4 linked regions of the Pelodiscus sinensis genome follow. The protein of the gene in region 2 interacts with the protein of the main gene of each other region in a biochemical or structural test. Links are inferred from orthologs where the notes say so. Each region holds a gene or a part of one and is shown on either strand. Other genes may lie near its edges. The genes, in order: GPBP1L1, LRRK1, ECHS1 and SNX9.

What was found.
Region 1: the proteins of LRRK1 (region 2) and GPBP1L1 form a complex in vitro, tested with the Homo sapiens proteins (2 studies listed by BioGRID and IntAct, with this or other methods). The link is inferred for Pelodiscus sinensis from reciprocal best matches to the Homo sapiens genes LRRK1 and GPBP1L1.
Region 3: the proteins of LRRK1 (region 2) and ECHS1 form a complex in vitro, tested with the Homo sapiens proteins (2 studies listed by BioGRID and IntAct, with this or other methods). The link is inferred for Pelodiscus sinensis from reciprocal best matches to the Homo sapiens genes LRRK1 and ECHS1.
Region 4: the proteins of LRRK1 (region 2) and SNX9 form a complex in vitro, tested with the Homo sapiens proteins (2 studies listed by BioGRID and IntAct, with this or other methods). The link is inferred for Pelodiscus sinensis from reciprocal best matches to the Homo sapiens genes LRRK1 and SNX9.

What each region holds. Positions count from the first base shown.
Region 1 is NC_134719.1:2,019,953-2,027,223, reverse strand, and holds the start of GPBP1L1 (vasculin-like protein 1), read left to right. Parts: upstream 1-4,267; 5' UTR 4,268-4,418; exon of another isoform or gene 4,419-4,542; intron 4,543-7,271. Other genes in the region: TMEM69 (transmembrane protein 69), read right to left, coding at 1,751-1,795. UniProt on the Homo sapiens protein: Possible transcription factor.
Region 2 is NC_134724.1:7,440,029-7,447,225, reverse strand, and holds the start of LRRK1 (leucine-rich repeat serine/threonine-protein kinase 1), read left to right. Parts: upstream 1-4,180; 5' UTR 4,181-4,336; intron 4,337-4,474; exon of another isoform or gene 4,475-4,716; intron 4,717-5,291; exon of another isoform or gene 5,292-5,424; intron 5,425-6,695; 5' UTR 6,696-6,823; intron 6,824-7,197.
Region 3 is NC_134718.1:6,674,637-6,681,685, forward strand, and holds the start of ECHS1 (enoyl-CoA hydratase, mitochondrial), read left to right. Parts: upstream 1-4,044; 5' UTR 4,045-4,118; coding exon 4,119-4,203; intron 4,204-7,049. UniProt on the Homo sapiens protein: Converts unsaturated trans-2-enoyl-CoA species ((2E)-enoyl-CoA) to the corresponding (3S)-3hydroxyacyl-CoA species through addition of a water molecule to the double bond.
Region 4 is NC_134713.1:112,089,642-112,097,444, forward strand, and holds the start of SNX9 (sorting nexin-9), read left to right. Parts: upstream 1-4,785; 5' UTR 4,786-4,953; coding exon 4,954-4,965; intron 4,966-5,585; exon of another isoform or gene 5,586-5,600; coding exon of another isoform or gene 5,601-5,609; intron 5,610-7,803. UniProt on the Homo sapiens protein: Involved in endocytosis and intracellular vesicle trafficking, both during interphase and at the end of mitosis. Required for efficient progress through mitosis and cytokinesis. Required for normal formation of the cleavage furrow at the end of mitosis.

The sequences.
Region 1 (7,271 bases), on a different chromosome or scaffold from region 2:
GAGCTACTCCCTGTCCCCCCACTGTGGCTCTGCAGTTTAAATGTAGTAAGACCGGGGCAGGCAGGTAGCTGGGATCCCCTGCAGACAGGGGCTGCTGCTGGAACAGCCTCCTGTCAGATGGCACTGCGGAGACAGTGCTGGGGAGAGAACTGGCTTTTAAGTTGGCTCCCGCTCCTCCCCTTGCTGCCTCTGATATGGGAGGAAATGTGATTAATCAACTACTCGATTACATCCTTAGTAGACATTTCTATCATAAGTAGGGAACTAATGCAATGAGATCATGAGAGCCAACAACACAGAGCAACTGAAAGGGAACAGGATTTTTAGACACTTTTAAAAACTTCTCTTTAAACATCTTGTTATATTTAATTCACTAAGATTTCTGATAAAACAGCCCTGCACAAAATTACTCTCCCTGTTGAAATTTCATGTTTTATAACAGGCCTGGGTAAAATACGGCCCATGGGCCGAATCCAGCCTACCCATCCAGGCTCCCCACTTGCCTTGCCCCATCTGCATGCCACTCAAAGCTGGCTGCGGGGTGGTTTTTCTTTAAAAACTGTTGAGTCCCGAGTGGTGGTGGGGGGAAGCTTTAGGAGCTGTTCCTGTCCCCAGCACAATCCCATTGGCCGATTTCTGGCCAGAAACTGGCCAATGGCAGCTTACCATTTCAATAACAGGCAGCCATGAAGCACAAGGGGCTCCAGAGCACATGGCTAGAGCCTGTGCTGGGATGGGGCAGGAAGGAAGGCTGATTCAGGAACAGGCTGCTGGCTGGTAAATCTCCTGGCCAGTCCAGTCTGGCACCCCAGTTCCTCCCTTCCCCAACCCTCTGCCTCCCCTATTGTCCCCCTACTCCACATACCCAATTCCTCTGCCCCCCTCTTGTATCCCAATTCCCTGCCCTATGTCACAATCCAACCCCCTGCATGCCAGTCCAGTGTCCCAGGTCACAACTGGCTCCTTCACCCAAACTCCTTCCCTTGCTTCAAGTTTCCTTCTGCACCCAAACTCCATCCCAGAGCCTGCACCTCCTCTATTAACATCATGGAAAAGTGCAGCCCTTGACCACTTCCACATTCTTGGAGTGGCCCCCCCATCAAAAATGATTGCCAACCCCTGAGATAAAAGAAAGTCTGTGTTAATTGTTAAGGTGAAGGCCCTCTTACAAAAACTGACATTTTTGAAGGTGTAGGGGAAGCAGCACAACACCTTTCTGCCTTCTTTATATTCAATCAAAAGACAGCAGCTACATAACTTTTAAAAAATACTTTGCAGATTCTGGCCTAATAGTATGGAGACCCTGTCATCACCATCATGTTGCAGCTGTTTCAATGAAAAGGAATTTTGTGGTGCTTATATGATCCATACTGTCCCTTTAAGTTCTGACCATAGTTACACCCCATGAAATCCCACCAACTTCACTAAGATTATGGAGCCATAACAGAAGGAAGGATTTGGCCCTTTAATATTCTTAGCTGTCAAGTACCACTGAAAAAACATATCAGTAAGCCTAATAAATCAATGTAGGTGAGCTGAGGTCTAACGCCATGCAAAAGTCAGGGAAAAAATCATTGACTAACTTTAAACATTAGAAAAGTTCCTTTGGAAAACACTAAATCTGATAAAAATGAAGCCTCAGTCTGCTGTAAAATATGAGCCAACTGTGTTTTATACTATACCCAAAATTATTTGTCGTCTTATTTTGTAAAAAGCTATTTCAGGATAAAATAATGCATTCAAAACTTACATTTAAAGGTATTTGGAAACAACATCGCTGTACAAGGTGAAACATTTTTGCTTAGCAGAAGGCCCTATGGGATGAAGAAAAAAATGTTAGGAGATGTCATTTAATGACAGCTATACGAAGTAGACTATCCAAGTTTAGAGCATGTCTAGTATAAGTTACTACAACAATTTATTTTCCATATTATATTAGAGTAAGAGTCAGAACCATTTTGTTTTATAAATTAGAGGAAGCAGATGGAGACTATGACTTTTTTTAAATCACTATACAGCTAATAACATTTTTGTCTGTATTCTAGCCAACTAATTATATTTAACTTTTACAGGGTTGTTTTCAAATCACTTTACAAGTTAAGGCCATTATCTTGTAATGCTGTTTTTGGGGAGGTTTTTTTGTTTTTGTTTTCCAAATCAAGGCCAAAGTATATCTCAAGGCACCCATGAAGTAGGTAAATGTCTCCATTTTACAGTATAAATGGTTTGTGGAGGCCATACAGGTGGTTGATGGCACAGCTGGATTTAGAATTCCTTTTCCCAGCCCCAAATTGAATCCACTAATCCTACCCCCCAAAATCCTCTAAAGGTTGGAAGTTTCTATAGTATCCACTGTTCCCTTAAGAACACAGAGGTGATGCCGTGATTGGATAAAAGGATGTTTGAAATGGGTCCACGGTGTATTACAGAAGTAGCTTGAAGTTCCCAGCAAGCCTGGCCCCCGCTGGAGAAAGGAAGAGTTTACAAGCTGAATAACCAACCCGGCCAAAGGAAGACTCCTGGAGGAGAAAATCAGTCACTTGCCCAGAGAGCCTGTGGCAGAGCGTTCCAGGAAAGCAAGCCCTGTTTGCACAGGCAGAGCCGCTCCTCTCTTTGGGGCGCCCAACACAACCCCCCCCCCCCCCACCTCCAGCTGCCTCCGGGGGGATCACTCACCTGCCCCAGGCAGCTTCCCGTGCTGCAGACAGGCTGCAGCATCCGGCAGGAGGGGCAGGCTTCCAGTGTGCGCTGGGTATAGAGCCCCAGCCCGGAACAACACGGGCCGGCCGCTCTAGTTCCGCTTTGGCTGCGAAACAGCGACTCCAACTCCCCAGACGTGTCTGTTTTAGTTTCCTGGCGTGACCAAAATCCCCCTTTGCCCTGGCGCTCAGCAGTCAGGAGGGTGGGAGTGGCAGGGTTAACAGGCATCAAGTCTAACGGGAGGAGAAATTGCATTACAGAAATACAAGGGTGTCTCTCCCCTATTGAAAAAGTCTGATTGCGGGCAGTTTATGCTGAACGTATCTTAGGCAGTGTAAGTCTTCCCACCGAGGGGCCATCAGCGCTGCCAAACGTTCAAAAAGCAAGGCTCCTTCCACCCCCTCCAAAAAGAAATCAAGGAACAGGGAAGCCACATGCATATGTGCAGGATCAGAGCTGGGGTGGGCCTGGTGGGTGCCACTGAAGGCGACACCCCCGCTTTGTAGTCTCACTTATTTAAATGAAGCAAAATACCCCAGACTAACACGGCTAAATTTCTATCATTATTTAAATGAAACCTGCATGCAGTCCTGAGTAAGCAGAACGCATGTAGCATGCAGTAGTCAAACCCCACCTTTGCAGCTGCAGCTACAAGCACACATGCTTTTACATGTTCAGAAGACTACCCGGACGTTGACTAACTAGTTAATTGATTGGAAAAACAATGTGGATGAGGTAACATTTTTATTGGACCAATTTCTGCTGATGAGAGAGACAAGCTTCTGAAGCACATAGTATTCTTCCTTCTTAACGGTTGTACTGATGTTTCTTTTAGGCTTGCAGCAGGAGCACCCACCAATGGGGAAGTCACTTGTCTTGCATCTTTTTCCTGGAACAGTTCCTCTGAATGTCTAGTCCTTGCTGGGCCTGATCGCTTTACAGCGGGTCCGGTGAAGATTAGCGCAGGTTTGCAGAACAGGTTAGGGGTGGAGAATAGCACTAAACATTACGGCAGCAGACAAGGAATCCTCCTGGCCCTGCAACTGCATGTTGCAGGAAGCATTTCTGGGGCGTCACTGCTCTGCTTGTGGGTGGACTGTGAAGCTTCTCGTGCTGAATTTAAAGCCATTGCTGCCAATTGTTTCCACTGCTGCCGCCTGCCTGGCTCGCTGAGGAAATGTCTGTTGAGCAGGAAAGGTTGATTTGAAATTCCACTCCCAAAGCCTGCCTGTCTGCTCTGTGTCACTGTTTGTCTGGATTTCCTCCGTGCTGGGGAGGGGAGGAGCACACGTTTGCTTTCTAGGATTACTTTACTTCCTTCCTTTCACTTTAAGGGATGAAGAGGCGGGCGCTGCTGGGGGGGGGACGGGGGGACGGAAGGGGACTCCAAGTCCCAGCATGCAGTGCGGCCGCGGCCCCCTCACAAGAGGTGAAGCAGGTAGCGCAGTGCATGCTGGAACTTGGAGTCCCGCACGGGGAGTACGGCGGCAAGCCCCCTCCCTCCCGCGACCCTATGACAGATACAAACAGAGCGGAGCGCGAGCCGCCTGGACAAGTGGGAGGGGGGCGGGGGCGCGCGCGCGCGCGGAGAGGGAGGCGCGCGCCAGCCTCGCGCTGCGGAGTCACCGCCCCGCCCCCGGCCGCACCGGGCCTAGGGAGCGTCCCGCGAGAGAGGTCTCGAGCCGCGAGGAGCCAGGCGCGCGGCCGGGCCGCGCCAGGTGGGTGTGTCTCCCACGCGCCAGCCCCTCCCCTCCGGCCCCCGGCCGGGCAGGGCCGGGCAGCCATTTTGGGCAGAGCTTTGTTATGGTTGTGGGGCCGCGGGAGCAGCGCCGGGCCTGGCCGGTGAGTGGGGGCCCCGCGCGGGACGCGCCGCGGGCGGCAGCCGGACCCGACAGCGAGCCGGGAACGGCCGGGCCCGTGAGCGGAGCCGCTCCGGGGAGGCTCGTAGCGAGCCCGGCCTGTGCTGCGGGCTCGGGGCCCCGCTGGCGGCCGAGCAGCCGCTGAGGGGGCTGGAAGCGCGAGTGGGGGATACGGCCGGGCCGGGGAGCGGGGGGGCCGCTGTGTGAGGAGCGGGGGGGGGAGGGGCAGGAGCGGGGGGGCCGCTGTGTGAGGAGCGGGGGGGGGAGGGGCAGGAGCGGGGGGGCCGCTGTGTGAGGAGCGGGGGGGAGGGGCAGGAGCGGGGGGGCCGCTGTGTGAGGAGCGGGGGGGGGCCGCTGTGTTAGGTCGCGGGGGGGGAGGGGCAGGAGCGGGGGGGCCGCTGTGTGAGGAGCGGGGGGAGGGGCAGGAGCGGGGGGGCCGCTGTGTGAGGAGCGGGGGGGGGCCGCTGTGTTAGGTCGCGGGGGGGGAGGGGCAGGAGCGGGGGGGCCGCTGTGTGAGGAGCCGGGGGGGGAGGGGCAGGAGCGGGGGGGCCGCTGTGTGAGGAGCCGGGGGGGGAGGGGCAGGAGCGGGGGGGCCGCTGTGTGAGGAGCCGGGGGGGGAGGGGCAGGAGCGGGGGGGCCGCTGTGTGAGGAGCCGGGGGGGGAGGGGCAGGAGCGGGGGGGCCGCTGTGTGAGGAGCCGGGGGGGAGGGGCAGGAGCGGGGGGGCCGCTGTGTGAGGAGCCGGGGGGGGAGGGGCAGGAGCGGGGGGGCCGCTGTGTGAGGAGCCGGGGGGGGAGGGGCAGGAGCGGGGGGGCCGCTGTGTGAGGAGCGGGGGGGCCGCTGTGTGAGGAGCGGGGGGGAGGGGCAGGAGTGGGGGGCCGCTGTGTGAGGAGCCGGGGGGGGAGGGGCAGGAGCGGGGGGGCCGCTGTGTGAGGAGCGGGGGGGAGGGGCAGGAGCGGGGGGCCGCTGTGTGAGGAGCCGGGGGGGGAGGGGCAGGAGCGGGGGGCCGCTGTGTGAGGAGGGGGGGCAGAGCTGAGGGACGGAGTGCGAGGAGCAGGCCGGGGGGGGGGGACCCAGGGATTTGGCTGAGGGAGCAGCCAGGGTGATTGAGGTTTGAGGGGGGAAGCGGGGGGGGGGGGAAGGGACAGGAGCGGGGGGGCCTGTGAGGGGAGGGTTACCGGATAGCTCATTTCTCTTTCACTTCATAAAGTATAAACATTTCGAAAGGGGCTGATGTGGAACAAGCAGATTGTCTTCCGAGATACTTGAAAAGATACTGCTTAGGCAGGATAAAAGCTAATCATTGGGTAACGAGCAGCTCTTGCTTGTGGGAGAGCCAGTATCTGTAGCAGCCTCCTTGCTTGAGAAAAGCAGATATGCAGTAACTCACAACAAAGATTTTGTTTACGTTGAAAGTTTTCAGCAGCCTCCTGGACTTGATGGTTTACAGTCTGGAGGCAAAGTTTGCATTTTATGTTTTTCTCTCCATCACTGTTTTGGGATCCTTTTGTGCTATTGGAAGCCTGTTGAAAGTAATGTTAGGAACATTGTGGTGTCATGAAATAGACAAGTGGCCTTTTGAGCATGGCCTGGATGTTTGCAATGTGAATTTAAAAAATGTATAGGAGGGAAGTGTAACCTCTTGAGAAAACATAAAACAGTTTTGCCATTAAATTTTCCAGTTTAACAGTGCTGTTCTCATGTTTCTTATACTAGTCAAGTGAGAAACATTGATTTCTGTGCATATACCCTGTCCTCAGAGCTAAACCCCCTGAGGCTCAGATGTGAGACAAACTCAGAATAAGATATAATTGCAGGTAAAGTCATCTGTGTCAAAGCCAAGACTCAGCATTTTGGTTACTCAACATTAGAAAATATTAAGTGTCTGCTGGTTAGTGAATTTGGGTGTGAAATTAGTTATGTGCTGCAAAGGTGTGTTTTTTAAAGTTATGACTTAAAAATGAATCCTGTTGCATAATAAGCCATATGAATTGAATCTTGATTTTATATTTTTGGAGATTTCATATATTTCTGGTAGCTTTTCTATGGTCATTTTAATCAACTTTGTGCTTTTTTTTTTTTTAAAGAAAAATCTACCAACATTACATGCTTTGCTTTATAAACTACTATACCAGCAGGAAATGGGTGTGTATAGCAGTTCCTAAAGGACTACCAGGTGATATCCTATTACATTTAGTAATTGCATTGTAAATACATTTACTTTTTAAAAGTAAAACTGTAAGTGGAAAATAGATCCCCCTTTTTTTCATCAGTTACAAGATAGCAATTTTAGTTTCCTTTGGTTAGTCATTCTTCCAAATGTAGAAAATATTTAACTTGGAACCATAAACCATCTAAATTTTTGTAATCCAGTTTACATTTGGACAAGCCCCTGAATGGGTTGATGTTCTTAAATCAGTTTTTAAAATGGCTTATACTTCTCTTAAATATGTAAGGAAGCTAAAACCAAGTTGATGATAACTGCTATGAGAATGTCCACACATGCAACAGTCTAAATCTGTTTTTAAATTACCATTATTTACATCAAGTTTGTGTGTAGGCAAGTTCTAATTATCGAATAGTGATAAGAGTAATCTGAAAAATTCCTCACTTTTTTTTTTAAATGAACATGGCAGTCTAGGTCCCTCTCACCAGTAATGTTCCAGTTAACAGAATTATGCTAGGAGTACTAAGTGTTCTAAAGACTAGCTGAA
Region 2 (7,197 bases):
GATCTTGGCTAGTAAGACTAGGTACTCTGGTTGTTAGCACTCCAGTTACCCAGAGCACTCACACGGGGCTTATGTATTTGGCAACATTTCCAAGCCTTGTGAGTGCTGATTTATGCAAATGATTGGATGGGGTAGCGAATGGCTGTGGAAGGAAGAAGAGTTGCCAGATGGGTTAAAAAAAATACTCGACAAAAATTTGATAAAAATGTGTCAATCAAAAAAGAAAAAAACGGGAAAATTTGTTGAGCAAAAATGTTTTTAAAAAGCACCGGGGAGTAACCAGGGAGACCTGGATAGAAATGCAGTCCCAGCCCCTTTAATTGCCATGTGTCCTGAGTGGCTTCCGTTGGGTGCTGAGCCAGGCCCAGGAAAAGCAGAAAAACTTCCTTAATTAGAAAATACCAGACATTTATGTGTCCAGTATTTTCTCAGTCTGTTTACTGGACTGACCGGTTCAATAATGGACACCTGGTGATTCTAGAAGAAAGCCCAAAGGAGAGAGGAGAAAGTAAAGACCACCATGTGGGGAATAAAGAGAACTGGTCCAGAAATAGGTTGAAATGTTCCCAAAAATAAAAACTTCCAGATAGCTCCAGTTGGGAAAGAACGATAAAGGAGGAAGAGGCAAAAGAAAGAGGAGATGAGCATTGAAGATAGCTCTAGTAAAGGGTTGAACTTATTCTATCTCTACACAGTGAAGAGGATAGAAAAATAGAACTAGAAGGAACCTCTTGAGGCCATCAAATCCAGTCCCCTGCACTCATGGCAGGACCTGCTAGACCAGGGGTGGGCAAAAGGGCCTCTGTGGGCTAGATTTGGCCTGCAAAGTGGGTGGATCCGGCCCACGGAGGCCCTGCTGCTCCCCTACCCCCAAGCCAATTAGGCCCTGGGGGTGGGGGAGTGCCCAAATCCTTTTCCGCTATGCCCTCGCCCTGCAAGCAGTGTGCGGCACTACGTGCTGCTCGCAGGGCGGGGGTAGAGCGGAGAAGTCGTCACGTGCACCTCAGGTCTTAATTGTCTGGGGGCATGGGAGCACGCAAAGTCTCCTCCCGCCCTGCGAGTAGCACAGGGTGTTTCCTGTTTAGGCCCCGCCCCTTCCAGGGTGGTCCCAGGGCTACTTCACAAATTTTTGCATGAGTAAACATGCAGAATTTGTAAAAAATTATTGCCCGCCACTGCACTAGACTGTGCCTGACAGGAGTTTGTCTACTCTGCTCTTAAAAATCATCAATCATGGAGACTCTACAACATCCGTAAACTGTTTATTCCAGTGTAAAACTACCCTGACAGGAAGTTTTTCCTAATATCCAACTTATACCTTCCTTGCTGCAGTGTAATCCCATTGCTTCTTGGAGTTAAGGAGAATACAGGCAGTCCTCGGGTTACGTACAAGATAGGGACTGTAGGTTTGTTCTTAAGTTGAATTTGTATTTAAGTCGGAACTGGTACATATTGTAGGGGAAACTCTAGCCAAACATTTCTCCAGAGCTCAGTTTTATTCTCCCACACCTCACTTCCCTCAATCCTTTATTCTCAAACTGAGGTGTCTGCTGAGAAAAGCCGCTCCGCGTCTCCCTGGTCTGCTGGGGGGAAGCAGCTAGTGCGGGGTTGCCTCACCCCGTCTGTAAGTAGGGATCCGATGTAAGTCGGATCCATGTAACCCGGTGACTGCCTGTAATTTTTCTCACTCCTCCTTATAACCACCTTTTAGATACTTGAAAGCTGTTATGTCTCGCCTTATTCTTCTCTTTTTCAGACCAAACAAACCTATTTCTTTCAGTCTTCCTTCATATAGGCCATGTTTTCTAGATCTTTAGTTATTTTTGTTGCTCTTCTCTGAACTTTTCCAATATGTCCACATTTTTCCTGAAATGTGGTGCCCAGAACTGGACACAATACTCCAGCTGTGGCCTAAAAATGTGGAATAGAGCTCAAGGATTACTTCTTGTGTCCTGCATACAACATTCCTGCTAATACATCCCTGAATAATGTTTGGTTTTTTTGCAACAGTGTTGCACTGTTGACTCATTTAGCTTGTATTGCCCCCTCAATCCTTATCTGCAATACTCCTGCCCAGACAGTTATTTCACATTTTGTATGTGTGCAATTGTTTGTTCCTTCCTAAGTGAAGTACTTTGCATTTGTCTTTATTGAATTTCATCCTATTTTACAGACCATTTCTCTAGTTTGTCCAGCTCATTTTGAATTACAGTCCTATCCTCCCTAGTTGAGAACTTGAAAGTGGGAGACAACTTGGGTGAAAGTGATCATGAAATAAGAATTAATGATTCAGAAAAGGTAGGAGGGAGAACAGCAAAATAAATGGTAAGAATGATAATGTCAGTAAAGTTTCAGTCCTAATCTGTAGTGACTCGACTCTTTTGTATTTTTATGATGTTGTGAGCAAGTCATTGTTTCATGAGGCAAAACCTGGGAGTACACAAGACAAATCAGGCTCCTGAAAGGGGTATAGTAGTCTGGAAAAGCTGACAGCCACTGGTCTGCATTATCCTCTTACGTCTCCACCCCTACTGCCCAACACTCTCCTGCCTAACAAACTCCTACAGGCTGTGAACGCTGGCTCCTCCTCACTAGGGATGTGAGTAGTCTAGTTGACTACTCACTTCCCCCCACCCCTGCCTTGCTGCCTCTGTATCAGGAACCAGCTTAAAAATCGGTTCCCTCCAGCACCCTCTCCATGGGGCCACCTTTTCCCTCCCTCCCCCCGCCCTGCTGCCTCTATTAGAGGCAGCAGGTTGGGGGAAGGGCAGGGGAGGCTGCCGCAAAGTAGCCTTTGACCACCATGAGCCCAGGCTGGCCACAGGCAGAAACTAAGGATGTTAAGTAGCGAGTAAATTACTAATTGTGTACTCAATACAATTTGTATTGAGTATATGATTAGTTGATAAAGGGCCACTGCAGCTCTGCAGTTAAAATGTAGGAGCCAGGTGTGCAGGCAGCCTGGCTCCTACTACATTTAAACAGCAGAGCCGTAGCAAGTAGGTCTGGGACCTAGTGTGAGCCAGAACTGAGGAAGCCTTCCCTTATCGACTAATCCTGTAGTTGATTAAAAATGTTATTAACTACATGATTGGTGGATTACCCACCTCTTAACATCCTTACTCCTCACACCCCTTCCACACCCTTCACCTAGCCCTCCCCCTCCCTTCAGCTCTCCTCTGGCCTTTACCCACACCCCCCTCTCTCCTCCTCCTCCTCCTGCCAGTTCTCTTCTCACCTACTTCCATAGCACTCACCCCACCCCTCTCATTTCTCTTCCCCCCTCCCCTGTCCTCCCTCCTATTTCTCCTTCCCATCCCCATTCTCCCTCTCCTCTCACATTTCCACCCACAGTCCCCTTTTCTCTTCTCCTCTCCTCACTCCTTCACCCTTCCCCTCTCCCCTTACACCCCTGCTCTCTCACCCCCTCCCCTTCTCCCATTTCACCTCCCCATCCTCACTCCCCTTTTTCCTCCCCTCACACACCCCATTGTCATCCCCTCCCCCCTCACCTCGATTTCTCCTCCCCATCCCCATTTTCCTCCCCCTCCCCTCACTCTTTCACCCTTCCTCTCCCCCCACACACCCCATTGTCACCCCCACTCTCACCCATCTCTCCTCCCCCTCCCACTCCCATGTCTCATCTCCCCTCTCCCTCCCCTCCCCTCCATTTCTCCTCCCCATCCCCATTTTCCTCTCCCTCACATTCCCACTCCCACTCCGCCTTCTCCTCCCCTTCCTCTCACTTTCACCCTTCCCCTCCCCTCACACAACCCATTGCCACCCCCACTCTCACCCATCTCTCCTTCCCCTCCCACCTCCATGTCCCATGTGCCCTCCCTCTCCCCTCCCCTTCTCCTCCCCATCCCCATTTTCCTCCCCCTCACATTCCCACTCCGCCTTCTCCTCCCCTTCCCCTCACTTTCACCCTTCCCCTCCCCTCACACAACCCATTGCCACCCCCACTCTCACCCATCTCTCCTCCCCCTCCCACGTCTCATCTCCCCTCCCCCTCCCTTTCTCCTCCCCATCCCCATTTTCCTCCCCCTCACATTTCCACCCCCACTCCGCCTTCTCCTCCCCTTCCCCTCACTCTTTCACCCTTCCCCTCCCCCCACACACCCCATTGCCGCCCCCCCTCCCCATTCCCCGCCCCCCGCCCCTCCCGGGATTGAGGAAGTGCCCCGGCCTGTCAGGCTGCGCCCCGCCCCGTTCCGCGCCCTCCCGCCCGCTCCGGCGCCGCTGCCGCCAGCTCGAGCCCGGGTGGCCGGCGGCGCAGGAGGCGGCTCCGCGCCCCACCGAGAGGCTCCCGAGGCAGGGACCCCCCGCGCGCGAGGTACCGGGGCTGGGCGGGGGGGCTCCCCGCCGCGTCCCTTGTGCCTGAGGGTGGCAGGCCCCCCCCCCCGGGCTAGCCGGGGCCCCCAGCGCGGGGGTGCACGGCCCGGGCCCTGCCCCCCTCCCGGGCCGGGGGCCGCAGACTCACCCCTGCCTGCCGGCGGGAGCCTTGTGGAGCGCGGGCTGGCGGAAGGAGGGTCTGGTGCTCTAGGGAAAAGGGGTGTTTGTTCCCCCGCCTGGTTCTGGGGCGGGGGGGGGGGCTGCTGCTTGCCAGGGCCCCCTCTGCCCCCTGACTTTGCCAGCCCTCTGGTGTCACTCCCCCGGGCAGCCCAAGGTTCCTCTCGAGGCTTGGAGCTGCTCAGCGCCGGGCACTTGGGCGAGGTGTGTTTGGATCCTGTCGGGGTCCACGAAGGACCCTCCTCCAGCCTGTGGGGAGGATTTGCTAAGTCCAGGACACACACTAATGATGGGGGACAAAGAAGAAGAAAAACGCGTGGGAGTGAAGAGGGCAAAGGGCTAAAACAAGGGAACAGGATGGGAAAACCGAGCAGTGGGTGGGTTTGGATGATTAGCGGGTACCTAACTCACATTGCTGCTGCTCTTTGGCAATCCCCAGCCAAAGGGACTCTGTTGGGATGGTAACCCCTTGTCTTACCTTTGTTCTGCAGAGTTAGAGCTGGTTGACCATTTTTTCAGTGATATCCATTTTCAGCGAAAGTGGCTTTTTGGACAAAGTCCATTTTCATGACAAAATATTGGTGTAGAAAGTTTTCAGGTTTTTTGTTGAAACACCCTCCCCCCAACTTTTTTTAAAGTTTAAAAAAAAAATAAGTTGAAGATTTTTTTTTTGCCAAAATAGTTTTTCAGGAGAGGGGAAATCATTTCCTCACCTGCTCTCATCAGAATGTTAAAGCTCTAATTTATTTGTAACTATTTATTCTGATGGTAATGTAAGCATGTGGTTAACTTTGCTCATGTAAAAGTTCCATTGGTATCCCTGGGATTGCTTGTGTGAGTAAAGTTAAATACATGAATATGTGTTTACAAACTCAGGGTCCATCTCAAGCTGCTGCTCAGGAAAAATTAGAGGTGAGAAGAGCATCACGAAAAGAAAACATTTCTATAGATATGTTTGGGTTGTTTGGGTTTTTTTTAATAGAGCCTAATGTTTGGGAAAGGAAATGTTTGGGTTAAATAAGCCATAAGCAGGAAGCTGTTGTCTTTTCATGAAAGCTGGTGGTAGAAGGGAAATAAAGCTAACGTAGGTTAAGGAAAAGCTTCCTTTTGTTCAATAACCATTCCAACAGCCATCAGGAAGCACTCTGAGGCTACATCTATACTGAGGAGCTATTTCAGTATCCCGAAATAACTATTCCACGTCTTAAGAGTAAGCCCATTATATCGAAATATAATGGACTCGCTATTCCGACATCTCTGTAAACCTCATTGCATGAGGGTTAAGGGACATTTCGTAATAGCGCTTTATTTTGAAATTTGGTGCTGTGTAGACAGCGACAAATTTCAAAATAAGCTGTTTCGAAATAAGTATGAAATAAGCTATGCAATTTGCGTAGTGCAAATTGCGTAGCTTATTTCGAGGTAAGGGTGTTGTGTAGACGTACCCTTCGGCTCCAGAATAGAAGCACTTCACTTTTATAGTGTGCATATTATTATTACTTTACTTTCCACTATATAGAACTCTCTCACTGGTCACTTCAGAGTGCTTCATAAATAGTAATTAATCAAATGTTACTATATGTCTGGAGGTAGATAAATAATATAACTACACTGCAGATTTGAAAACTCAGGAATACAACATTTATGTGATTTGCTAAGGTCATACAATGCATATCAGAGGGGGAACAGAACCCAAGAGTTCTTGCACTGACCATTAGCTTTCTCTGTCTCTGCTGCTATGACCTGTGGAATAGTGTACAAATGCATTACCACTTTTCCCAAAACTTGAGGTAGATTCCTCATTTTGACACATGTCACTTGAAGAGCACTTTAAAAAGTCTTCTGAGTGATTTAAGTTGAAAGATACAGAGCAATGTCATGGTATTGTGACAATTGATTTAGTCACATGGGAATTAGGAGAAAGGTGGAAATCCAATGGAGAATGCAGTAGGTGCAAAGGATTGACATTGAATACAAACTCACTTCTGGTTCCAACTTCTGTTATTTTTTGTATGTTTCAGTCATTATTTAAATAGGCACATGGTGCTTTACTTTTCACTCTGTCTACTTTTATTAAATGTTATGAGTGGTATTAGTGGCTGCTAGCAAGTTGCAGGGAGCTAGACTAGACAGACCTCTGATTCTGTGGAAATAACATGGCACTATTTTTTTCTTCTGCACAGAGGTACTGGTGACATAAGACAGCTGAGGATACATTGCCATTATATGAAGACCAAAGATGGATTGTTATTTTGCAGGGATTTTGCCCTAACAGAATGCCAAGAGCCACATTCTCTCCTTGCATTGGTAGGTATGTTATCAATACCTCACCTGGGTGTGACAATGTCCTGATATGAACCCACAGTTGGTTTGCACCAGTGACTGCTTCATCCACCTTCATGCTCCATGATGCTTCCTACTGTGATTACCCTCCTGACACCTGGCCTATAATGTGGCATCACATTGTATTGAAAGCCGTTGTTTGGGCAAAGAACTCAAGATAATATTCCGGAGTCTCCTATTGACTTGATGAATAATCTTGGGCAAGTCATTGCACCTCTATATGCCTCAATGTATGATACAGGAGTATGATACAAATGGGTATGATACAGGATAGTCACAGGAGTATTGTGAGGCCTAATGAATGTTTATGAAGTGTTTTAAGAACTTTGGGTGAAAAATGCT
Region 3 (7,049 bases), on a different chromosome or scaffold from region 2:
TGCAATGGAGGGATGGGCTCTGCTTTCAGTGATACCCCTTAGTTCCCACGGGAGCCTCCCCCCCACCCCCACCCCCTGTCACAGTGCCAGAGGTGCCGAGGAAGATTGGCGTCTATATCTGGGGCACGGCTGGATTACACTGCACGATGTGATGGCAGGGCCCTGTGTTTTCTAGGCAACGTGTGTCAAGCCATTGGGATTAGAGGGGGCAGTGAGCTGGGGAGCCCTCGGGGGAGGAGAGGATGGGGAGGGGGTGTGCAGGCTGGCGGGGGGTGGAGAGGAGACAGACCTGAGTACGTCTTTCCTGCATGTTTCCTTGGCTTCCTCCTGCTACTACTAGGGCCCCCTCCCAATGGCGAGGGGGGCTCAGGAACGCTGCCCAAAGGGGGTTGCCGCAGGGGCCTGGCATGACCTGTGCGCCCAGCCTGGGCTTTGGGGTCTGCTGTGCCCAGGCCTTGCAGCAGCCCAGCCATCGTACAGGGACAGCCAGCACACCATGCTGGGCAGAGAGACCAACAGCCCCATCCCATGGGCCTAGAGGCTCTCTTTATCCTGGTGTGCATGGATGCTGGTGTGTGCAGGGGCACGCGTTCATGTGCACACGTGTGTGGGGAGGCTTGCATGCCGGGGAGGGTGAGTACACGGATGAGTGCATGCAGACGGGGGTGGGTACATGCGTGAAGATGGGCGGTGGGGTGCCGGCACACACGTGCAAGCCTCTGTTTGGGGGACATATGTGAGCAGGGCTCTGCACGTGCCCACGCAGAGCGGGTGGAGTTGTTATTTATAGAATCACAGAAGAGATGGAAAATTCCTCCACTCGGCCGCCGGAGTTTGCCCTGTTTGTTCCGGTGACGGATGCATTCCCCAGCGCATCGTGCGCCCCAAGCCATGGACCTCCACCTGCCTGATGTGTCTCAGCAGCCGGCTCTCAGCTGCTGCGTGTGGAGAGCTTGGTTATGAGGCTGCCTTGCCTCTGTGTTCTAAGCACCGCGTGGCTACCCTGCAAGGACTCTGCCGCCTGTAATACTGCTGGCAGGGGTGCGCACGCTGTCTCTCTATGGGATTCACCTGTCTTGTTCCTTCAGCAGAACACCTCTTGCGCTGCTGCAAGCCTGAAAGATGGCTACGTGGTCCCTGAATGCACAACCTCTGTCCCTTTCCTTCCGAGGCAATAGAAAGGGTGTTTCCTTTACAAACGATTGTCACATTAGAGGAGTGACACGAATTGCTATGACTCCTGGAGGAGGAAGAATATTGAAAGAGAGAAGCACTTCATCAGAGTGGAACTTGGGAATACCAAAAGAAATGGGGCAAGCAAGGGGAGATTTCCCCATGTACTAGGAGGGGTCAGTAGACAAATACAGTCCTTAAAATAAAGAAAACAAGAAAACCTTGGAAGTGCAGGTCAGAGATTTGCTAACCAGCGGGCGCCATCTACGGGGCTCAGATGGCCAGGGCCCAATAGAAATAGGTCACGTCTCAGCCCTGAAAACAGGGCATCAGAACTGAAGTCATTGGGTGGGATTTCACAGGCGGCCCAACCCACAAAGAAGCTGGAGAATCTAGGCGTGGCGCCGGACGTTGGCCCAGCAGGGACCGCGGTGCTATGGCTGCGTCAAGACAAGGGCGGCCGACCCCTCACTCCCTGGCAGCCAGAGAGTGCGGTGAGGGGCTAATAAACAGCTGTCTGCAGTGGGCAGGTGCTGCGGGGGACCAGAGCTGGGTGGTGCTGCCCTAGGAGAGCCAAGGCCTCCCAGCTGTGCTGCCCCAGAGGGTTCAGAAGGATTGAGTGGGTGTGTGGCTGTTTATTGGCTGGGCAGGCCCAGGTCCAGGTGGCCGTGACCGAGGTGAATTTCAATGCTCTGCCCCAGGGCGAAGCCAGAATGCCCTGCTCCCGGCCAACTGAGGCAGAGAAAGGCAGCTCAAGAGCCCAGCAGACCTGGGAAGGGCCCAGCCTCCTGTCAGGAGTTAGCACGCTGGCTTAGCCAGGGCTGGGTTAGTACAGGCCACCCCACTGTGACTGGCCCGGCTAGCAGGGAGCCTGCAGCATCTCACAGCACCTCAGACACCAAGAAACGAGCCACACTGACACTTCATAGAATCACAGAGTCACAGAGCACTAGAACAGGAAGGGACCTCGAGAAATCATCAAGTCCAGTCCCCTGCCCTCATGGCAGGACCACGCACCATCTAGATCAACCCTGACAGGTTGATTTAACCCTGCTCTTAAATATCTCCAGTGATGGGGATTCCACAACCTCCCTGGGCAATTTATTCCAGAGTTTCACCACCCTGACAGGTAGGAAGTTTTTCCTAATGTCCAACCTAAACCTCCCTTGCTGCCCATTGCTTCTAGTCCTATCAGCAGAGGCCAAGGAGAACAATTTCCTCCCATCTTCCCCGGGACATCTTTATAGATACCTGGAAACCACGATCACCTCCCCTCTCAGTCTTCTTTTGCAAACGAAACAAGCCCAATTCCATCAACCTTGCCTCACAGCTCATGTTCTCTGGACCTTTCATCATTTTTGTTGCTCTTCTCTGGACCTTCTCCAGTTTCTTCACATCTGTCTTGAAATGTGGTGCCCAAAACTGAACCCAGCACTCCTATTAATGCAGCCCAGAGGCATGTTTGCTTTTTTTGCAACAGTGTCACACTGTTAAGTCATTCTTACACCACAATGTACGTCCACAACCCATGGTCCTACCCACTCCCCTCAGCCTACCCACTGCCCACCCATATTCCCCTCAACCCACCCACTGCCCCCATCCTCCCGGTGTCTCTGAAGCCACTGCTGGCCACGCCCCCTGAGTCTCCTCCTCCCCTGACCGCACCCACAGGTTGAGCACTGGGGCGGGGTTACCCATATTGGGCGGGGCTATGCAAATGAAGGCTCTGGGCGGGGGATAGATGGAGCTATGCAGATGAGACAAAAAACAGGACTATGTAGCACTTTAAAGACTAACAAGATGGTTTATTAGGTGATGAGCTTTCGTGGGCCAGACCCACCTCAGATCAAATAGTGGAAGAAAATTTTCACAACCATATATACCAAAGGATACAATTTTAAAAAATGAACACATATGAAAAGGACAAATCAAATTTCAGAACAGAAGGGGGATGGGGGGGGGGAGGTAAATTCCTGCGCAAGAAATATAATTTATGTTATCATGTGCCAAAAGTGTCCGTCTGCTATGTACATTGGACAAACGTCTCAGACACTTCGCCAAAGGATCAATGCCCACAAAACAGATATTAGACAGGATCACAAAGAAAAAACAGTTCCTTGCCATTTCAACCAGAAAGGACACTGTCTCAACGACTTGATTACCTGTATCCTGCTTCAAAAGCCTTTTAAGAATACACTTGAAAGAGAATCCTCTGAACTGTCATTCATGCTCAAATTCGACACTTTATGCTTAGGTTTGAACAAAGACTCTAATTACCTTACTCATTACAAAGATAGCTTCCCCGATTATCACCTCTAATATCATTAGCTCACAGATATTTACCTCCCCCTCCCCATCTCCCTTCTGTTCTGAAATGTGATTTGTCCTTTTCATGTGTGTTCATTTTTTTAAATTGTATCCTTTGGTATCTATGGTTGTGACAATTTTCTTCCACTATTTGATCTGAGGAAGTGGGTCTGGCCCACGAAAGCTCATCACCTAATAAACCATCTTGTTAGTCTTTAAAGTGCTACATAGTCCTGTTTTTTGTTTCAGCTACACCAGACTAACAGGGCTACATTTCTATCAATATGCAGATGAGGGCTTTGGGCGGAGCTATGCAGATGAAGGCTCTGGGGGGCGGGGATAGACGGAGCTATGCAGATGAGGGCTTTGGGCGTAGCTATGCAGATGAAGGCTCTGGGGGGCGGGGATAGACGGAGCTATGCAGATGAGGGCTTTGGGCGGAGCTATGCAGATGAAGGCTCTGGGGGGCGGGGATAGGCGGAGCTATGCAGATGAGGGCTTTGGGCGGAGCCATGCAAATGAAGGCTGTGGGCGGGGGATAGACGGAGCTATGCAGATGAAGGCTCTGGGGGGCGGGGCGTGACGCGCAGGGGCGGAGCTCGGGTGCTCCAGGCCCCGTGGCTCGGCTCCGCTCCGCCATGGCTGTCCCTCTGCGCGCGCTGCTCTGCCCGGCCCGGGCCCGCCTGCTGCTGCTGCGAGCCCCGGCTCGGCCCTGCTCGGCCGGTGAGCGGCGGCTGCTGGGCCGGGCCGCTGTCCGGGGGGCAGGGGGGCTGGGGTGCGGGGGGGGTTGGAGGATAGGGGGGCTGGGGTGCGGGCAGGAGATAAGGGGGCTGATGTGCGGGGGGGGCTGGAGATAAGAGGGCTGGGGTGCAGGGGGGCTGGAGGACAGTGGGGGCTGGGGTGCAGGGGGGCTGGAGGATGGGGGGCTGGGGTGCGGGGGAGCTGGAGGATGGGGGGCTGGGGTGCAGGGGGGCTGGAGGATGGGGGGCTGGGGTGCAGGGGGGCTGGAGGACAGTGGGGACTGGGGTGCAGGGGGGCTGGAGGATGGGGGGCTGGGGTGCGGGGGAGCTGGAGGATGGGGGGCTGGAGGACAGTGGGGGCTGGGGTGCAGGGGAGCTGGAGGACAGTGGGGGCTGGAGGATGGGGGGCTGGGGTGCAGGGGAGCTGGAGGATGGGGGGCTGGGGTGCAGGGGGGCTGGAGGATGGGGGGCTGGAGGACAGTGGGGGCTGGGGTGCAGGGGAGCTGGAGGATAGGGGGGCTGGGGTGCGGGGGAGCTGGAGGATGGGGGGCTGGAGGACAGTGGGGGCTGGGGTGCAGGGGAGCTGGAGGACAGTGGGGGCTGGAGGATAGGGGGGCTGGGGTGCAGGGGAGCTGGAGGATGGGGGGCTGGAGGACAGTGGGGGCTGCGGTGCGGGGGAGCTGGAGGACAGTGGGGACTGGGGTGCAGGGGGGCTGGAGGACAGTGGGGACTGGGGTGCAGGGGGGCTGGAGGATAGGGGGGCTGGGGTGCGGAGGAGCTGGAGGATGGGGGGCTGGAGGACAGTGGGGATTGGGGTGCAGGGGGGCTGGAGGACAGTGGGGGCTGAAGGATAGGGGGGCTGGAGGACAGTGGGGACTGGGGTGCAGGGGGGCTGGAGGACAGTGGGGACTGGGGTGCGGGGGAGCTGGAGGATAGTGGGGCTGGAGGACAGTGGGGGCTGGGGTGCAGGGGGGCTGGAGGACAGTGGGGGCTGAGGTGCGGGGGAGCTGGAGGATGGGGGGCTGGAGGACAGTGGGGGCTGGGGTACGGGGGGGGCTGGGGTACGGGGGGGCTGGAGGACAGTGGGGGCTGGGGTACAGGGGGGCTGGAGGATGGGGGGCTGGAGGACAGTGGGGGCTGGGGTACGGGGTGGCTGGAGGACAGTGGGGGCTGGGGTGCAGGGGGTGACTCAGTTCCCTGCAGGCTGCTCAGCCCACTGACTCCCCACCCTGGAGCCTGCTGCCCCTGCCTGCTGGCTCCCCATTGCTGGGTGGTGTGGGGAGCCCCTCTAGGTCTGGGGCTGCTTTGGTGGGGACGCTCCCTCAGCCCCCCCAGGAGAGGGCGCTGCCCAACAGAGCTGGCTCCCTGCACTGCCCCATGCCTGTGTGAGCTGCGGCCTGGGGGCTCCTGGCAGTAGGTCTGGGGGAGCACCCGGGGGGCTGGGCCACGCTGGGAGCTCAGGGGCTGGAAGTTTGCTCAGGCCCTGCGTGTGTGGCCGCCTCGGGAGCTGTTGCTGCCCGAAAGCAGAGGGCAAAGTTCTCCGGCCTGGAGCCCTGCACTGCGCCTGCGACCCGGTCGCGCCTTGCTGCCCAGCGCTGCCTTGCTCTGGGGGGCTGCGCCCACTGCCCTGTCTCCCCTCAGCTGGCGGGGGAGAGGGGATGGGACTGGACGGGCAGCCTGCCCCCTCCCTTGGGCAGGAGGCCAGGCCTGTGCCCCAGTCCTGACTGAGCAGCTGCAGTGGCTCCACTGACGGGGAGCTCCGGGGCCCTCCTTGTACCCGAAGCGCTTTGCGTTCTGAGGCCTTGTGCGCTCAGGACGGCCCCTGGCAGCTGTCCGGGCTGGAGCCTGGTTCCAGGGTGTCCCCTGGGCGTACCCTCGCCTGGCACAGACAGCTCCCACGGGTGCTGTCAAAAGCCAGGCCAGCAGGGCTCAGGGTGACTCCACATTCAGTTCTTTTCTCAGTTAATTCAGGGCATGTTGAAGGGACTAGAGACGCCGTCGCCCAGCCTGCCCCCCACTCCAGCCTGCCCCTCCCCTTTAATTCTTTAACCGGTCAACGAATCTGATAGCCCTAGAAGGGACCAGCCATGCTGCTGTGGAGTAGGGATGTGAATGAGTACCAGGTAACCAGTTCATCCGCAGCCCTCTGTGGTCAGGAGCCCTGCAGGTGGGGGGTTACTCGGCCTGCGCCCAGCCCCTCGCCCACAAGCTCCCGCTTAACCAGTGAACCAATTAAACACAACAGTTAATCCATTAACTGAGTACATGGGATTTTATATCCCTCCTCTGGAGAAGGAAACCTGTATCCCAGGCCCAAACCTCCTCCCCCACCGGTTCTATGGGGAGGAGGATAGTAAAATAAGGGGCTGTTTTGTTTGCCCAGAGGGAGACAGACCCCGGCCGGGCTGGGCTCTGGCAGTCTCAGGAATGCTAATTTCAGTTCTCGAGCACTCAGGGTGTGCTGAGTCTTTCGCAGACCCCTCCAGCTTCGTCCAAGTGGGCATTGGTTGTGTTGCCCTGGGCAGCTCACACCCGTTACCTGTCCTAGTACAAGGCACAAGCAACAACAGCTCGTGCCCCAACGAAAATACAGTGTCCACAGACGGACGCATGTGAGAAATGAGGCTTCAGGAGAGATTTCCATGCAGCCCTGACGGGTAGTGTCTTGGCCTGGCAGATTGGAATACAGGAAGTGTGTGCGGGGGTGAGAGGAGAAGAAGAAATGGAAGTAAAATGGGCAGGACAACTGGGCACCCGAGCTGACAATACTGACCGGGGGAGAGGGCTGTGCGATACGAGCTGGGCTGATACGCAGGGCCTTACAGAAAA
Region 4 (7,803 bases), on a different chromosome or scaffold from region 2:
GGTCTTCATTTAACTAAGTAAGCCCTCTCTAGTGAAATTGTCCATTTCTTCACTAGATTCTACTGAAATGATCACTTATTTCCCTGGAAAATTTAGTTCAATAAACTCAACCACAAGAGTGCATATTTACTATGAAAAGTGCATATTTACCAGGTGCCTAGTTTTGAACTGGATAGTCCGGTATTTGAGCTTTCTGTTCGGAAAACAAACTGAGAAAATATAAATATCTGCAAAAGCGACGAGGAGTCCTGTGGCACCTTATAGACTAACTGAAGTGTAGGAGCATAAGCTTTCGTGGGCAAAGACCCACTTCGTCAGATGCATGTCAGATGAAGTGGGTCTTTGCCCACGAAAGCTTATGCTCCTACACTTCAGTTAGTCTATAAGGTGCCACAGGACTCCTCGTCGCTTTTGCAGATTCAGACTAACACGGCTACCCCTCTGATATAAATATGTGGTATTTTCTAAATAGGATGTAATGTAGATTGTGCTATAATGTCAAGTGTGTCTAGTATTTTTGTTGAAACCATCTGGCAACCCTATCGAGGGGCAATAACAAAACCCAACATAAATTCTATCTTAATAGCTTTTATGCAGAAGAGGAGACTTTTCATTTCTAAAATGCACATTGATACCTCAGTTTGAGGCATGGGGCTTTAGAAATACAAATCAGGTTTTGAGTAGATAAAGCCATATGTATCAAATAGAAAACATGAGCATGATTCAGGAAAGTGCTGAGTACTTTTCCCTTTATCCAGCAAAATATTTAGGCACATGAATAGTCTCATTAAAATCAGTGGGATTACTCATATGTCCACGAAAGCTCATGATACCATCTACATGTTTTGTTAGTCTTTAAGGTGCTATTAGACTATTTGTTGTTTGTTAAGTTTTTCCTGTTACAGACTTACTCGGCTACCCCTCTGAAGCGTTTAAAGCTAAGAACATGGTTAAATCTTTTATGATCAGGATGAGAGTCCTCAGCACTCTTGCTAGGCAGCAAAAAATTTACCAATACAAAAGGTTTTAGAAATCACTTTAGGTGTCTCCTATTGGCAGTTGGTTTGTGCTAAGACTTTTGTGTTAGCTTATAATGAAGGTTTCAGATAGGCAGAGAATTGTGATTTCCCCTGCACATAAAAAAAATCCTATAAGAATGTAGACATGAGCAGCTACCAGGAAGTTCCTCATATAAACATTTCTGTCTACATGGCTATTAGGCTGCAAATAATCATGGGAAGACTCAATTGACACCAATTTCCCAAAATATTCCTTCCCCCTGTGAGAGGGAGGGCAAACCCCAAAGGAAAACCTGATTGCCTGTACACATGTCTAATAAACCTCCTTGTTAAGATCAGCTTGTGGAGGAACATTGTCTAGAGTCAAAGATGAGATTTTAGATGTGTAAAGAGGTCTGGCAAATTATTACTTTGTTTTGTATCTAAGATAATAGATAAATGTTGTTTCAGTAGCTATCGGGGTAGAGAGCAAGATGTTTAGAACAAAGTGGAGAAACACTGAAGTGTTAGGAGGAAAGGTTCCTCCTATGTATGAGAGGTTCATTCTGAAGAACTGTTCTAGAATGAAACAATTAGAACATACACACATCTTAGCACATCTGTCTGGTTTGTCAAAGTAATTTAAAAACAGAATCAAAATGGAGTTTAAATATTTTTCAGATTAATCAGTTCTTATTACTGTAGCACCAACCACAGCATTTTTTGTTGTAAAACAGCTGCTTCTCTGCTCTGCAGCAGCCACATGTGTTCTTTATTGCTGCTGTTCAATATGATACCTAGAAAAAACCCCATATATTTCACTTTATCTACATAAAAGGCGGGGAAAGTTGCAACTTCATTTCCAAGTTAAAAGACTTGTGGGCATGCTGTTTTTCTGTTTTGTTAAAATTGCCTGGCTTAGTGGAAAAAGTTACCCATAGCAAAAGAAGCTTGTAAGCACTTCAGATACAGAAATATGCATGTAAGGTGTTTTGTAGCTTCACAGTATTATACATGATTTTTAGGACTAATAATGCTTGACTCATTGACTATTTGTACATTTACACTACTTTTTAAAAAACTGGATTGAAGCTGAGATGTTGCTACTGGTCAAACCCCAAACAAAATACACCCTCAAATAGCTATCTATGCAAACTAGGCATATAGATAATCTATGCAAAATATGTTTGTATTAAAGCCATTATATTCTGTCCCCCTCAATTTGTTTCACCCTATTGCAGCTTTTCCCTAGCCTATACATTGACTGGAAAAAGAACTGTCTTTTACTGTAACCCTGTAGAGTGAGACAATAAGCTGTCATGTTGACTAGTATTGTCTCTGTTTTCTTGTCCTCCTGCTTCTGTCTGCAGAGCTGTGCCATTCATAGGACGAATTGGGGTGGCCACCTGGGTTCCAGGCTTTTGGGGGCCCTGCAGTGGCCGCTCCAACCATCCTATAGATGGGAAAGACCTGGGATATACAGGGGCTTGGCATGGGGTGACAGCAGGGCTTGCCTGCACTCACCACACAGCAGCAGGAGCCAGAGTACCCCTACAACCTGCTCCACCCTGCTATGCCACCCTCCTGGCCCGCTGCACTCTGCTTCCTGCTGCTGCGGAGAAGTGGGACACAGCAGGCTGGGAGGGTGGCATGGCAGGGCAGAGCAAGCTACTGGGACATTCTAGCTCCCACCACCCATGTGGTGGTGGTGGTGGTGGGGCAACCCCTACTACTGCCGCACCAAGCTCCCCAGGCCACATTGCTCGGAGGAGAAAATAAGGGGGAAAGGAGGTGGAGAAGGGACAGGGCTTAGGGAACGGATAGAAAGGGGGCAGGGTCTGTGATGGGAGGTTGCCCTAGGCTTCACATCTTATGACTAGAGCACTTGGTGGAGGGGGGATAACATCAGGCCCTGCACCCCCCTTGGGAAGGCCCTGTCTTTGGTCTCTTGTCTTGTATGTCTACACTAAGGCTGTGTCTAGACTGCATCCCTTTTCCGTAAAAGGGATGCAAATTAGACATATCGCAATTGCAAATGAAGTGGGGATTTAAATCCCCCCCGCTTCATTAGCATAAAAATGGCTGCCGCTTTTTTCCAGCTCGGAGCTTTGCCGAAATAAAGCACCAGTCTAGACGCGGATCTTTCAGAAAATAAAGCCTTTTCCGAAAGATCCCTCTTAAAATGAGGGATAAGGGATCTTTTGGAAAAGGCTTTATTTTCTGAAAGATCTGCATCCAGACTGGTGCTTTTTTCCGGCAAAGCTCCGAGCCGGAAAAAAGCGGCAGCTATTTTTACGCTAATGAAGCAGGAGGGATTTAAATCCCCGCTTCATTTGCAATTGTGATATGTCTAATTTGCATTCCTTTTACGGAAAAGGGATGCAGTCTAGACACAGCCTAAAAGTATTACAGTGGCACAGCTGAAGGTACACCACTGTAGTATTGTGGGATAGACACTTGCTACAGCGATGGGGATTTTCCATCACAGCACTGCATCAGTTCCTCTTAGAGATGGTAGCTAGGTTGACAGAAGTCTTCCATTGACCTATAGGTACCAGGTCAAATTAACTATGTCCCTCAGGGGTGTGAATTTTTCACACCTAAGCACGTAGACCAGGCCTTAGTCTCTGCCCCAAAGAGCTTACAGCCTATCTTTTTGGTTCTTTATTTGTATAGCATCTAGCACAATGGGGTCCTAGTCTGTAACTGAGATACCTGGAGTATTTCTACACAGGCTGTAGCAGTGAGTCTCCCAAGCGGGGGTCAACAGACTTGGGCATATGCTACCATGTCTAAAAGAGCCATATAGACATTTTGGTTTGGGCTCTGAAGCCTCCTCTTTGGGCTTCAGAGCCGGAGCTGCCACTCCAACATATATACAGCTACTTTTAATATGCTTACATCAGCAGTGGAACCCTAAGTCTGTGAACTGGGATTGGGGGGCTCGCTGCTGTGGGCTATGTAGATGTACCTGATGGCATGAAGTATAAATAAATAATAATATATAGTGTCTAGTACAATAAGCCTGATTGGTCTTTTATGTGTAACTGTAATACTATCAGCTTGCTGAGGCCCAGCTGACACACAGCTTACAAACAAATTACACATCAAAAGACTGAAGTCAAGAGGAAACTTGATGTGATAGTAGATTCATTTCCTAGAGGTCCAGGTTTCTGAAATTACTGTTCCAAGACTGAATGGAGGATACCTACTTTCATAGAAAAAGCAAAAACAAACAAAAAACACCTCATCTGAGAGTAAAATATTTGCATTGGGAAATATTTGGCAATGGGAAGAGTTGCTTAAAAATGCATTCACTTTTGCATTGGTGGTCTCTTTTTGTAGGAGGGTAAATATGTCAGCTGTGTCAAATGAATCTACCAATAGTCCCTGCAGTACATTAAGGGCTGAAGCAAAAATTATGTTAACACTCCCCCCCCTTAAAAACCGAAAATTTTAAGTGACTAGGGCGATTGTACAAACTGCCTAAGATGCAAAGCACCCAAAGAAAATACTGAGGCTTACGGCAAATGAGTGAGGAGAGTTGGGGCAAATCTAAATAGTCAGGATCAAATTCTGCCATTAAATCGGTGTCAATCCGCAGTAACTCCGGCTTTGCACCTCACGTGCCGCCTCTCTGATTCCAATCCTCTGCCCTCGCCCAGCCGAGCAGCGTGCGCCGGGGCACAGGGAGCGTTTGGGGAAGCGAGACGGGCGGAGAGCGGGACGAACAAAGAGGCGAGGGGGCAGAGGAGAGCCGCGAGCGGGGAGGGGCCGGGCCGCTGCCCTGGTGCTACATTAGCTCCTGCCCGGCCGGCGCGGCGCGGTTGTGCCGAGCAGCCCGGCGGCCGGAGGGGGCGGTGGCTTTGTGACTGGGAGTAGCTGCGGCCCAGCAGCGGCGGCGGCGGCTCCGGGCCGGAGAGACGCGCGGCGGGAGCCCCGCGCCAGCAGCACCATGGCCACCAAGGTGAGGGGCCCGGCTCGCTTCGGGCCGCGGGGGGGTGGGGCGAGCGGCGTGGGGCGCCCCCTCTCGAGGGCGAGTCCCAGGGGCCCTACGGGCGAGGGGGGGGCTGGTGCTTCTCTGCGCCCGGCCCTGGCGCCTGTGGGGCGGGGGGCGGCCCCAGGGCGCTGTGGGGGTGCAACCCCCCGAGGGCGGCTCGGGGCAGGGGGAGGGGGGCAGGTCCCGGGGTGGCCTCCCCCCCCCAACCCCCCCGGCGTGTAACCGCCAGGGCCGGGCGCTCCAGGAGACACCCACCCGGGGGGCGTGTGACCGCGCCTGGCGTGGGCCCTGGACCCGCTCCCGGGCCTGCCAGGCGGGAAGAGGCGTTTCCAGCGTCGCAAAGTTTTAACAGAGAAAACTTTTTCTCCGCCCGCTCTTGGCGGCCTGTCACCTGAGCCCGCAGGCGGCGGTAGGGTCCCGCTGCCCCACAGCGAGCGTCTGGCCCGGGCCCCGTGTAACCCACAGAGCGGACGGGACCCCTTCCTGAGGTGCTAACCGCAGCTGCACCTCGTTTAAACACCCCTCTCTGCGCCGAATAAACCACAGCCGCCTAACCTGAAGACTAATACTAGCTGGAAGAGCTGAACCGTGTCTCGCTGTTTATGATGTGGGTGTGTGCATTTTATCCTGTCTGGATAGATTGGTCAGTTTCATTGCGGTGTCTTGTTTGGGGTCTCCTGTTGTGGCCAGTAGTGGCATAGTTTAGGTGGGAATATTTGGGGGAGTGTTTTTAAATTCAAGCACATTTTTCATTGACCTTTCAAAGAAGTGGCGTGGACACCTTTCTCTTCACACTCGGTATTGTAAAACAAAGAAATAAATCTTTGGGGGCCGAAGAACGCCCCACGTATCTCTTTAATTTCACAGTTGTGAAAGGGAAAAAAAAACATGCAAACAAACTTGGGCCTTTACTTTTGAGAGTTGCTGAGTGCCTGCAGCTCCTGTTGACATATGTGGTAGTTGTGACTGTTCAGAGTCCTTGGAAAAAGTCCTCGTGGAACCAATCTCTAGAGATCTGAATGTCATTCAACTTTGCATTCTGTCCTGTATTTTTCTATACTTCCCATTCAGTCAGGAAGGAAAATGACTGTGGTCTTAAGGCCTGGTCTACACCTGAGACCTAGGTTAACCAGCTAAGTTACTCAAGGGTTTTCAAATCCCAAGACCCACAATTAAGGTGACCTAAGCCTTGATTTAGACACCTCCCAGTAGACAGAAGGAACACTGCAGCAGTGCTGTTGCAGCATTTTAAGTGTAAACATAGCTTTAGTATGTGATACAATGACTTGTGTTACAAAAACATCAAACACAAGACTTAGTTGCTCAATGGAACTATGATTCTGTGTATTTGCTTGGCAGCATTGCTTGTTTTTTGTGTATAGTGTAATAGGGTTTATACACCTGATAATGTCCAAATATCGAGGGTATCTTTTCAAGTGAGTTTGATTGCAGTAGGATAAATTCATTTATTCTCTTCTAATGGCTATGGTTGCCAACTTTCCTGATCGGACGAACCGGATGCCATTTGTGGAAATGTTGTCTGGTACGGGAGACTAGGAAACCCTGTAGTGGTGCATTTGTGTGTGTGTTCCACTTTATAAAACAAGAATACCACTAATAAATCGGCCACTTGTAATCTCTAATTGCTCTTATAAAAACTGATATATAAAAAAAGTATCTTCTGAATAATTTTCTGTTTTTTGTAGATTATGTAAAATACTGTTTTCCTTCTGCCATGTTATTTTGTAGCATGTGAATTAGCAATATTTGGAGTTATGTCTGAGTTTTAGTTGTGTATATGGTTTCTAAAATGTATGATGAGATTAGTTTTTGCTGTTTCTGAATATTATTAGAAAATGAATGTAGTAATTGAGCTTTGCATTTCTGGAACCAGTCTAAGTTTCCAACAGTATTTATTTGCTATATTAGTATTTTTTTATTTTAACTTTTTAAAGTTCAAAAGTACCTTTAAAGAAAACAAGTGTTCTACTTATTGTGCCATGTCACAGTATTGGAAACAATGTTTTTGGGACACAGCTGGGTTGCATAAACTAGTTCTGCAACTTAGAAAGTTCATTTGTGTTAGTAGTAGACCATGTTCCTATAAAATAGTGATAATATGATTCTTAATACGTCACAGATTTGTATATTGTACATATCCAATTTAGTGTATTAATAATATTTTATAGTCACAGTACTCTTTAGATAAGAAGCCTAAATCACAAATCAAATAGGTGTTTTTGAAACTTTTATCCTTACACCTAAAATTGGGTTTGATATGTATCAGAGGTTTAGAATGTTGATGGACTGGGCTCAGTGTTAATATTTTTGGTATAGACTAACTTGCGTTAAGTGTGTATATGTGTGCCCATGGACACAAAGGGCACTTCATGTGGTCATTTGTGGGAAAACTGCATTGCTTCTGGCAAATATGTACTTCTGCAATTGGGGTAATCAGTTCAAATCGTGTTCATTTCAATGTGGAATAGGTCCTGCACTGTATTTAAAGAAGGCTATGAAGAGCCATTGTTACTTTTTTCTGGTACAGAATTAACTTAATTGTATAAATGTAGAGAGTTGTGCTCTCGTTTTTTTTTTTTAAATAGCTCCCTGATTTAAACTTCTTCAGAAACAGAAGACCGATCATGTTGTCCCTAATTTAACTAATGTTGTGGGCAGAAGAGCAGCAATTATTTTTCATTCTTCTTTTATTAATTTTTAGGCACAATTTTTGTATTGCTTTTTTATTTTAACTTTCAGTATTTACAAATTGAAAAGTGGGCTTTTTTGTTTTGAGATGCTGGT